2 linked regions of the Macaca mulatta genome follow. The protein of the gene in region 1 binds, or shares a complex with, the protein of each later gene. Links are inferred from orthologs where the notes say so. Each region holds a gene or a part of one and is shown on either strand. Other genes may lie near its edges.

What was found. Proteins that work in one complex are often made in the same cells at the same time.
Region 2: TAF6 (region 1) and TAF12 share a complex: the UniProt entries of both Homo sapiens proteins name them as parts of the TFIID basal transcription factor complex. The link is inferred for Macaca mulatta from reciprocal best matches to the Homo sapiens genes TAF6 and TAF12.

What each region holds. Positions count from the first base shown.
Region 1 is NC_133408.1:47,417,392-47,422,370, forward strand, and holds part of TAF6 (transcription initiation factor TFIID subunit 6), read right to left. Parts: intron 4,936-4,979; exon of another isoform or gene 4,885-4,935; coding exon of another isoform or gene 4,880-4,884; coding exon 4,668-4,879; intron 4,566-4,667; coding exon 4,479-4,565; intron 4,353-4,478; coding exon 4,199-4,352; intron 3,998-4,198; coding exon 3,941-3,997; intron 3,516-3,940; coding exon 3,396-3,515; intron 2,884-3,395; coding exon 2,738-2,883; intron 2,630-2,737; coding exon 2,552-2,629; intron 2,460-2,551; coding exon 2,358-2,459; intron 1,956-2,357; coding exon 1,773-1,955; intron 909-1,772; coding exon 834-908; intron 708-833; coding exon 582-707; coding exon of another isoform or gene 525-581; intron 1-524. UniProt on the Homo sapiens protein: The TFIID basal transcription factor complex plays a major role in the initiation of RNA polymerase II (Pol II)-dependent transcription.
Region 2 is NC_133406.1:212,257,642-212,262,720, reverse strand, and holds the start of TAF12 (transcription initiation factor TFIID subunit 12), read right to left. Parts: upstream 3,499-5,079; 5' UTR 1,684-3,498; intron 1-1,683. UniProt on the Homo sapiens protein: The TFIID basal transcription factor complex plays a major role in the initiation of RNA polymerase II (Pol II)-dependent transcription.

The DNA.
Region 1 (4,979 bases):
AATGAACTTGCTAAATACTGTGGCAGGACAGTTAATCAAGAGGGCATTTGCTTTGTACAGAGACCACACAGTAACACAGAAGCACTGGGGAAGGATGGTCCAAATGCCAAAGGCTGAGCATGTGAGCCCTTCTTTCTTTTTGGAGGAGTGGTGGTCTCCCTCTGTAACCCAGGCTGGAGTGCAGTGGCACAATGATAGCTCACTGCAGCCTTGAACTTCTGGGTTCAAGCAGTCTTCCCACCTTGGCCTCCCTAGCAGCTGGGACCACAGGCACATGTCACCACTCCCAGCTGTTTGTTTTTCGTAGGCGGGGTCTCGCTACATTGCCCAGGCTGGCCTCCTAGGCTCCCAGAGTGCTGGGATTACAGGCGTGAGCCACCACGCCCAGCCAGCCCCCTTATTTTTTACTCAGCTTGAGTCTCAGTCTTTCATCTGTAAAATAGTATCAGACTTTGCAGTATGTTCTGAAAACAGGAGGCAAAGATGGGAGTAGGTGAATAAAATACGCCATATGCTTGCTAAACGCCGGCTGTCTCTCGGGGGGTCGGGGGCGCAGGTGCAGGGACAGGGGCTTCGGTTACCAGCAGAAGGCTCTGCACATGGTCTGCTCCAATCCGGTCAATGTTGCTCAACACAGGGCCGTCCAGCACACTGCGGATCCGCTCCCCTTCCTGCTGTAGCCGGGGCAGAATCAGAGTCTTGATAACCTGTTGGAAGGGAAAGGAAGAAACCAAAGCCGGAGGGTCACCAGGGTCTCCCAGGTGGGGGCACAGTGCCCTCTATAACCTCATGACTGCGTCCCCTCCCCCATTTCTTCCTCCCAGAGGCCTAACATCGTGTCCCAGCTCAGCCAAGCCTGCGATGGAGCCATAACGAGTCGTCCAGGGCGTCTTCTCGTCCACCCAGCTCTGTAAGGGGAAGGAAATAAACTAAGATGAAGGGGTCTGAAAGGATGATTGATAGGGACCCACGTCTTTCATAGACACTTTCCTTGTAAATCATTAAGACATGACAGTGAGGCCAGGCGCGGTGGCTCACGCCTGTAATCCCAGCACTTTGGGAAGCTGAGGCAGGCAGATCACCTGAGGTCAGGAGTTCGAGACCAGCCTAGTTAACATGGTAAAACCCTGTCTCTACTAAAAACACAAAAATTAGCCAGTTGTGGCCAGGCACAGTGGCTCACACCTGTAATCCTGGCACTTTGGGAGGCCGAGGCAGGCAGATCACCTGAGGTCGGGAGTTCTAGACCAGCCTGACCAACATGGAGAAACCCCGTCTCTACTAAAAATACAAAATTAGCTGGGTGTGGTGGCACATGCCTGTAATCCCAGCTACTCAGGAGGCTGAGGCAAGAGAATCGTTGGAACCCAGGAGGCGGAGGTTGCAGTGGGCCGAGATCGCATCATTGCACTCCAGCCTGGACAACAAGAGCAAAACTCCGTCTCAAAAAATAAATAAATAAATAAATTAGCCAATTATGGCTGCAGGCACCTGTAATCCCAAGTACTCAGGAGGCTGAGGCAGGAGAATTGCTTGAACCCAGGAGGCAGAGGGTGCAGTGAGCAGAGATCGCACCACTGCACTCCAGCCTGGGCAAGAGTGAGACTCCATCTCAAAAAAAAAAAAAAAAAGGCATTACAGACAAGCCTCAAGGCCCTTAGAGCCCCACAAGTTCCAGTCCCTCTTCCCTCTGCCCTTGTTTCCAGTGTCACTTCCCCCAACCAGAGGTGGCCAGTGATGAAACCAATGGTGCTCAAGTTTCCCTGGCTCACCTTGGTGAAGGTCTTGGTGATTCGGGACTGGATGTTGTTAGTGGTTGTGCTAAAATGCTTGCAGATCTGGGCCACCAGGCGGGCAGCAAAGTCTCGAAGTGCCCAGTGATTGTCCACATCTGGTCGCAGGCACAGCTGTCTGCTCACGATGCAGGTCATCACAGCCGGAATCAGCTCATGGACCTAAGGGAGAAAGGGCGGGGCAGCTGATTCTGGTTTTGTTTGTTTGAAACAAAGTCTCACTCTGTCACCCAGGCTGGTGTGCAGGGGCACAATCATGGCTCACTGCAGCCTCAATCATCCAGGCTCAAGCAATCCTCCCATCTCAGCTTCCCAGGTAGCTGGGACCACAGGTATGCACCACCATGCCTGGCTAATTTTGTTTTTGTTATCTTTTTTTGTAGAGACAGTAGTCCTACTACTATCCTCAGGTTGTCCTCAAACTGCTGAGCTCAAGCGATCCTCCCATCTCGGCCTCCCAAAGTTGCTGGGATTTCAAGTGTGAGCCACCGCTGACCACTGACTTCCTGTTGGTGGCAGCAGGGTCCCTGGTCCCTGGAAGGGAAGGTGGGCAGGACCACTCACGTATTTTTCTAGATAGAGCGTGGGGTTGTCCATCAGCGCCTTCACCATACGCATCAGGTAGATGAGTAGGGCCAGGTTGTTCTGAACCACATTCACACGGACCTGCGGGAGGGAGGAGTGCTGGGCATGGGGCAGGGAGACCCTCACAGGAGCTTCCGCTGCCGTCCCTGCACAGTGGAACCTCATGCTCTCACCCCCTCCGAGATGAAGGTACTGAACCGTGGCAGCATCTGATACAGCCCGGGGTCCGTGGCAATGCTTTGCAGGGCTTCCTGTGGGAGGAGGGAAGCCAGTCAGGTGGGGGTAGGATGTGGGGAGCAATTCATAGGACCCCCAGGAGGAGGAGTCTCAGGGCCAGGGCAGGCTGGTGGGGCCCTCACCGCCCTCTTGGCCTCGCAGGAGCCCACACAGGCCTCGGTGATCTCCTTGTAGTAGAGCTGTTGCTCCACAGACAACTCATGGATGCTCCGGGGCTTCAGTCGCAAGGGGGCCCCCTCCAGCAAGGGCGGTGCCTTCTTCTCTTTCCCTGTGTGATTGGATAGGTGGGTCTGACAAAGAAAGCTCCAGAAGAAACCTCAGTAACAGAAGAACCTTAACCCTCCACTTCCCCTGAGACTCAGGAGACCCAGCTTCTTCTTAGGCTTCCCCATCCTTTCTGGGGCTCTCTGGCCCTGACCTCAGCCACTTCACCAATGGCCACATGGAGGCTTGGCATGGTGGCTCACACCTGTAATCCCAGCACTTTGGGAGGCCAAGGCAGGCGGATCACATGAGGGTGAGTTTGAGACCAACCTGGCCTACATAGCAAAACCCTATCTCTACTAAAAAAAACTACAAAAATTAGCTGGGTGTGGTGGTGGGCACCTGTAATCCCAGCTACTCAGGAGGCTGAGGCTGCAGTGAGCTGAGATTGTGCCACTACACTCTGGCCTGGGTGACAGAGTGAAACTCTGTCTCAAAAACAAAAAAAGGATACAAAACAAATGGCCACGTGGCTTTGGGCAAGAGTCCAGAGAGGCCTGGCCTAGGAGGACTGACCTTTGCCGTCAGCTGCGGTGGCCCCTTGACCTTTGCCCTTCAGGGGTCCGTCTTCCTCTTGGCCTGGCTTGGCTGACTTCAGGGGTTCTGTGGCTTCGGCCTTCTGTTGCTCTTTGGGAGCTGGTGGGAAAGCAGGCACAGTGGGAGGCGTGACGAGAGTAGCAGGAAAAGTAAAGGGAGGAGGCTGGATGCGGTGGCTCACGCCTGTAATCCCAGCACTTTGGGAGGCCAGGGCGGGTGGATCACCTCAGGTCAGAAGTTCGAGACCAGCCTGGCCAACATGGTGAAACCTCATCTCTACTAAAATTACAAAAAATTAGCTGGGCGTGGTGGTGTGTGCCTGTAGCTCTAGCTACTCAGGAGGCTGAAGCACAACAATCGCGTGAACCCAGGAGGCAGAGGTTGCAGTGAGCCGAGATTGTGCCACTGCAGTCCAGCACTCCTGCACTCCAGCACAGGCAACAGAGTGAGACTCCATCAAAAAAAAAAGGTGGAAGGAGGGGGAAAGGGACCCAGAGATCCAGAGGGTGGGGCATGGAGGTTACCTGGGGGTGGGTTCTCGGGGATAGCTGGCTGGCAGCCCTCGATGCTCAGCCAATGAGCTGCAAGGAAGGCAGGTGTCAAGGTGAATTGCCGCGCATGGACACTGGGGAGTTGTTCCATGCATGTTTCCACTCCTGCTCCCCTTGCAACTCACCAGGGATCTCACGCTGAGCTTTTCTTCTATTGTGAGGCTACTCACACCCACACGCATCTGTCCTCTTTTCCCTCCTCCCTGCCACCCTGCTCTCCCCTCCCCCAACCTTTGAGGCAGACGTCCAGGGGCACCCGGGGCAGAGGGGTATTGATGATGTCGCTCAGATCAACCTCCTTCTCCTCGTAGAAGTAAAGCTCCCGGCCCCCACCAGAGGCGAAGCGGAAAGGAATGAACTCCTGGGCGTGGAAGCCATAGAGTGGCTGTGGCAGGAGAGAGGGGCACATGTGAGAAAGGAGCCGGAGGAGACCTGGCTGAAGGATGGCGCCTCACCCCAACCCCATCGCCCTGTCCCCATCACCCGCCCCCTGCCTGTCTCCCCAAATCACCTCGACATTCTTTAGCTTCAAGGCATAGTCAATGTCACTGGTGGTGAGCTTCTGCCGCTTCCCCATGTGCATGAACTTCAAGGCATCCTGGGGTGGGTGACAGAATAGACATCAGCCCAAAATCCTAAGGACGGGGCCCCGGGCGACATCCTGGACCCAACGTGGAGCTGGACAGAAGGGCTGGGTCACCTGTGCAATCTCTTTGATGCGGTAGCTGACCTCATCCGTCAGCAGCTGGCAGGTCTCCTCCTGAATCTGGGCGATGCCCATGGATTCAGCCACCACCTTCATGGACTCCGAGGGCAGCACGGTGTTGCTAAGCTTCAGCTTCTTCTCCTCAGCCATTCTGGAGTCCCTCTTCTCCCTGGAAGGATGAAGCCCCCGGTGGAGAGACGGAGACCCTGGCAGAGGAATGGGGCAGGCAGAAGAAAAAGAAATGTGAGGCCAGGGGCGGTGGCTCAAGCCTGTAATCCCAGCACTCTGGGAGGCCAAGACGGGCGG
Region 2 (5,079 bases), on another chromosome or scaffold:
TAATTAAACCATCAAGTACTTTGAAGTGGTGACATGGGCATGGGTATGCTTTCCCTCAAAAGTTGGTATAAGTAAGTTTTGATCATTTATATATAATAGGCGCTTGCAAATAGTAGACTCTGGGGGAAAAAATAGTAGTTTTAACTAAGCCCAATTCCCCCAAACATCTAGTTCATGATATAATTAACTGGAAAATTAATCCAATTTAAGCCCTTGTTTTTCAAATTACTTTTTTTTTCTTTCTAGACGGAGTCTCATTCTGTCGTCCAGGCTGGAGTATAGTGACACAATCTCGGCTCACTGGAACCTCCACCTCTAGGGTTCAAGTGATTCTCTCCCACCCCAGCCTCCAGAGTAGCTGGGATCACAGGGATGCGCCACCGTGCCCAGCTAATCTTTGTATTTTTAGTAGAGACGGGGTTTTGCCATGTTGGCCAGGCTGGTCTCGAACTCCTGACCTCAGGTGACCTGCCCGCCTTGGCCTCCTAAAGTGCTGGGATTACAGGTATGAGCCATTATGCCCAGTCCAAATTAGTCCTTCTTGGCCTCCTAAATCTAAAATTAAATATGTCTTTCTACATTGCAATTAAAAGCTCTACAAAGTTCCCATTTTTCTATCTTAAATAATCTATGCTTCTGTGAAAACAGAATTTAGCTCTCCTCAAATGCCACAATACGTAAGTACCCTAATAAGTTATAGTCCTTGACATTTAGAGGAGCCTTAAGAAGGAGGGAATGCTTTCATTCAATTATATGTTTTGTATAACGATTACTTCTATTTTGCTGATGGACAAACTGAGACAGAGGAATCCACTTAGAAGAGAAGAAAAAAGTTTTAGAGGCACGCGTAACTGGGGTTGGGTCACTCAGTACTGTGTGATTTCAGGCAAAGTATTTAACCTCTCTAAACCTATTTCATTATCTGTACAACGAGACTGACAATATCTAACTTGTGGGGCTGTGATAATTAAATCATAGAATACTCGAAAGTACCTAAGCTGTGCCTGGTTAGTCTGAGTAGGTTTCAGAAAAAGATACTAATATTGAAGTAAGTGACTGGTGCAAGTCTCCCCACCATTCTTATCCAAAAGCAGCCATCCCTAGTAAATGTTTGCACTAAAAATGCAGGACACACTTATTTATGGCTTTCCAAACAGCTTATTAAATAAATAAATAAATAACACTGAGCTTTATTTAAAGGTTCCAGCCAGGTGCAGTGGCTCATGCCTATAATCCCAACATTCTGGGATATCAAGGTGGGAGAATCACTTGAGGACAAGAATTCAACACCAGCCTAGGCAACACAGCCAAACACCGTCTCTACAAAAAAACTTAAAAATTAGCTGGGTGTAGTGGCTCATACCTGTAGTCCCAGCTACCCAGGAGGCTGAGGCAGGAGGAGTGCTTGAGCTCAAGAATATAGGTTGCAGTGAGCTATGATGATGCCACTGCACTCCAATATGGGCAACAAAACAAGACCCTGTCTCAAAAATATAAAAATAAAAATAAAGGTTTCCTTACTATTAAGTGACATTTACTGTATCAATGTCAATGCAGTAATAACACTCAAAGTATCAGAAACTGTAAAAATTTCCAGTTTTTACTGGAAATAAAAACTGGGCCAGGCGTGGTGGCTCATGTCTATAATCCCAGCACTTCGGGAGGCTGAGGTGGGCAGATCACTTTAGGTCAGGAGTTCGAAACCAGCCTGGCCAACATGGTAAAACCCTGTCTCTACTAAAAATACAAAAATTAGCTGGGCATTGTAGCACACACCTGTAATTCCAGCTACTTGAGAGGCTGAGGCAGGAGAATCGTTTGAACCGGGGAAGCAGAGATTGCAGTGAGCTGAGATCGTGCCACTGCACGCCAGCCTGGGTGACTCTGTCTCAAAAAAAGAAAACTGGAAGCGGGGGGAAGTGACTCATGCCTGCAATCCCAGCACTCTGGGAGACCAAGGTGGGAGGATCACTTGAGCCTAGGAGTTTGAGACCAGCCTGGGCAACATAGTGAGATCCTGTTTCTACAAAAAATTTAAAAATTAGCAGGGTGTGGAGGCACATGCCTGTAGTTCCAGCTACTCAGGAGGTATATATAGGTGGGAAGATTGCTTGAGCCTAGGAGGTTGACGTGCATGGTGCCAAGATTGAGCCACTGCACTTCAGCCTGGGCAACAGAGAGAGAACCTGTCTCAAAAAAAAAAAAAAAAAAAAAAAAAAAAAAAAAAAAATTCCCTCCTGAGTTTGAAGATAAAGCAAAGATTCTGGAAGCATTTAAGGAACATTAACCAAGCATCTCATTTGCTACGCACAGAAGGGTACTGTATTAAAATTATGATCTAACCATTGCCTCACTGTAATCCTAAACCTCTTTGAACCTTAGCCTCCTTAAATGTAAAATAGGAGTTTTTAAAAGATGATCTTTTGGGACTCTTCCATCACTGACATTCTTTTACTTGAGATGCAGAGATCTGTGCTCATTCAGGGTTGAGTGGAATGGGATTTAAAGCACTTATCAAGTATATAACTGAGTTCCAACTGTTTTCAACTTCACATCTGATTCCCAAGAATGAAGCAGAAAATGAAGATGTTTGCATGTGGGCTTCCTAGATTGAGTATCTAACACAAGAAAAGCCTGCCAAGAGCCAAGCAGGCAGTGCGAAGGAGAAGTTGTCTTCCCCTGAATACGTCCTTTATCTCTCTGGGTTCAGGGAATACTGTGGAAAAAAAAATGGATCACTAAATCTTTTCCAAACCCTTTCCCTTTACTTTCTAGGCTGATCTCACATCCATGGTCCCTTAGATCCAAGGCTTTTAGGAGCTTGGGTCCTCACCGCCCTGTTCTGAGACTCAGGTACTCGGAGTCTCAAAGCCCGGATCCCGTCCCCAAAGAAGCCCCAGTCTTCACTGCCCGCTTCTGTTCCCTTCCAAACTCAAGTTTTCTCTGTCTGCTTCTGCCCCTCAGGAACCTGAGTCTTCGCTGCCCCGTTTCTGAATCCTTAGGAGGCCGGGTCTTCACTGTCCCGCTTCTGCCTCTTAGAAGCCCAAGTCCTCACCGCTCCACTTTTACCTCTCCGGAGCCCGTGTCTTCACACCCCGTTCCTTTCCGACCCTCTCCTCGTAGGAGTGCGGGTCCTCATAATCCTGCTCCTCTCAGACCACTTTCCCTCAGATGCCGGAGAACTCAGATCCGTCCCCGTTCCCTAAGTCCCGTCTTGGAGCCCAGGTCCCCACAGCCGCGTCTTCTCCGAGCCTGATCCTCTGTCAGTCCCTTCCCAAGAGCCTGAATCCTCACAGCCCCGTCTCGTCCACAACCTGGTCCTTCGAACACTGACCTACTGTAGATCTGGGTCCTGACTCCCTCCTCCCGCTCTTGTTCCTCAACTGCCAGGGCCCAAGACTCACAGGCAGCAGCGTCTATCTCCCCATGATATGCGGAGACTGCCCCAGAGAAGCGTTCGTCTCAGCAGCCGGTCCGACTGCGCGGCCCTCCCCGACTACTTCCGGCACCGCTCCCCGCCTCCAACCCGGAAACGCGCGGCTCTTCCGGCCGGCGGGCGCGCGCCTCGCTTGCGCAGGCGCAGACTGCCCTCCGACACGTGGTGGCGATCTTGAGCTGTGTGTAGCTGTAGCCTGCAGCTTGCGCTTTTAACTGCTTGTAGTTGAGTGGCAGCATGAGCGAGCTCTGCGTATTCCACCCCGGCGTTAAGAATCCTTCACTAGCTTTTCTTCCCGACTCTGCTTATTTATCCATCGGTAGCATGACGGGTAATTGACGCCCTCGGATGGCTTTGAGGTCGCCATTTTTGGTTGGTGCCTTTGTCATGGTGTCAGGACCAGGATATCATCTGGGACACATTACCCCACAGGTATCCTGTTGAACCTCAACGAGGAAGTTGGCAACACAGGAACCGGGAGATGAGACAGATCGGTTGGTTGTGCCTGTGAACTGGCAATTCAGTAATAACAATTGACTGCTGACTGTTTGCCAGGAATTGTGCTAATCCGCTTACCTCCGTTACGCCATTTAATCAGTTAGAGGAGACCTGTGAGAGATTAAGCAAAATTCTAGCTAATAAGTGCAGAGCCTCAGCTTGAACTCAGACCTCACTACTAAGCCAAAGCCTGTCCTGTAGCATTCTCTACAGGACAGTTTTTTGCTGTCAAATGCTTGGTGAGAATTGCTTTTATGTGGCTCACGCCTGTGATCCCAGCACTTTGGGAGGCCGAGGCGGGTGGATCACGAGGTCAGGAGTTCAAGACCAGCCTTGCCAAGATGGTGAAACCCCGTCTCTACTAAAAATACAAAACAATTAGCCGGGCGTGGTGGCACGCGTCTGTAATCGCTACTCCGGAGGTTGAAGCAGAGAACTGCTTAAACCTGGAGGGGCGGAGGTTGCAGTGAGCCGAGATCGCGCCACTGCACTCCGGCCTGGGTGACAGAGCGAGACTCTGTCTCAAAAAAAAAAAGAGAGAACTGTTATTTTTTACTGTATGCTGGAATGTTAGGTATGCAAGTCAGACCCAGTTCCAGCATCTGTAAGGTTCACAGTAAAATGGAGAAGAACCCACAAACACACCAAAAAATGTATAAAGAGCTGTGGGCCGGGCGCGGTGGCTCAAGCCTGTAATCCCAGCACTTTGGGAGGCCGAGACGGGCGGATCACAAGGTCAGGAGATTGAGACCATCCTGGCGAACACGGTGAAACCCCGTCTCTACTAAAAATACATTAAAAAAAACTAGCCGGGCGAGGTGGTGGGCGCCTGTAATCCCAGCTACTCGGGAGGCTGAGGCAGGAGAATGGCATAAACCCGGGAGGCGGAGCTTGCAGTGAGCTGAGATCCGGCCACTGCACTCCAGCCTGGGCTACAGAGCGAGACTCCATCTCAAAAAAAAAAAAAGCTGTGACAGGCCAGTGTGAGCCACAGTATCTGCCAGCAGAAATTAGGAAAGGTGCCCAGATTGGTGCAGCATCCTGCCCTGTCTTTATATCTTCCTAATCCTCATCCTACCACCTTCCCAATCCACCCTCTACACTGCCACCCAATCCAAATTCTCAGATTCAAGTCCTCATGAACA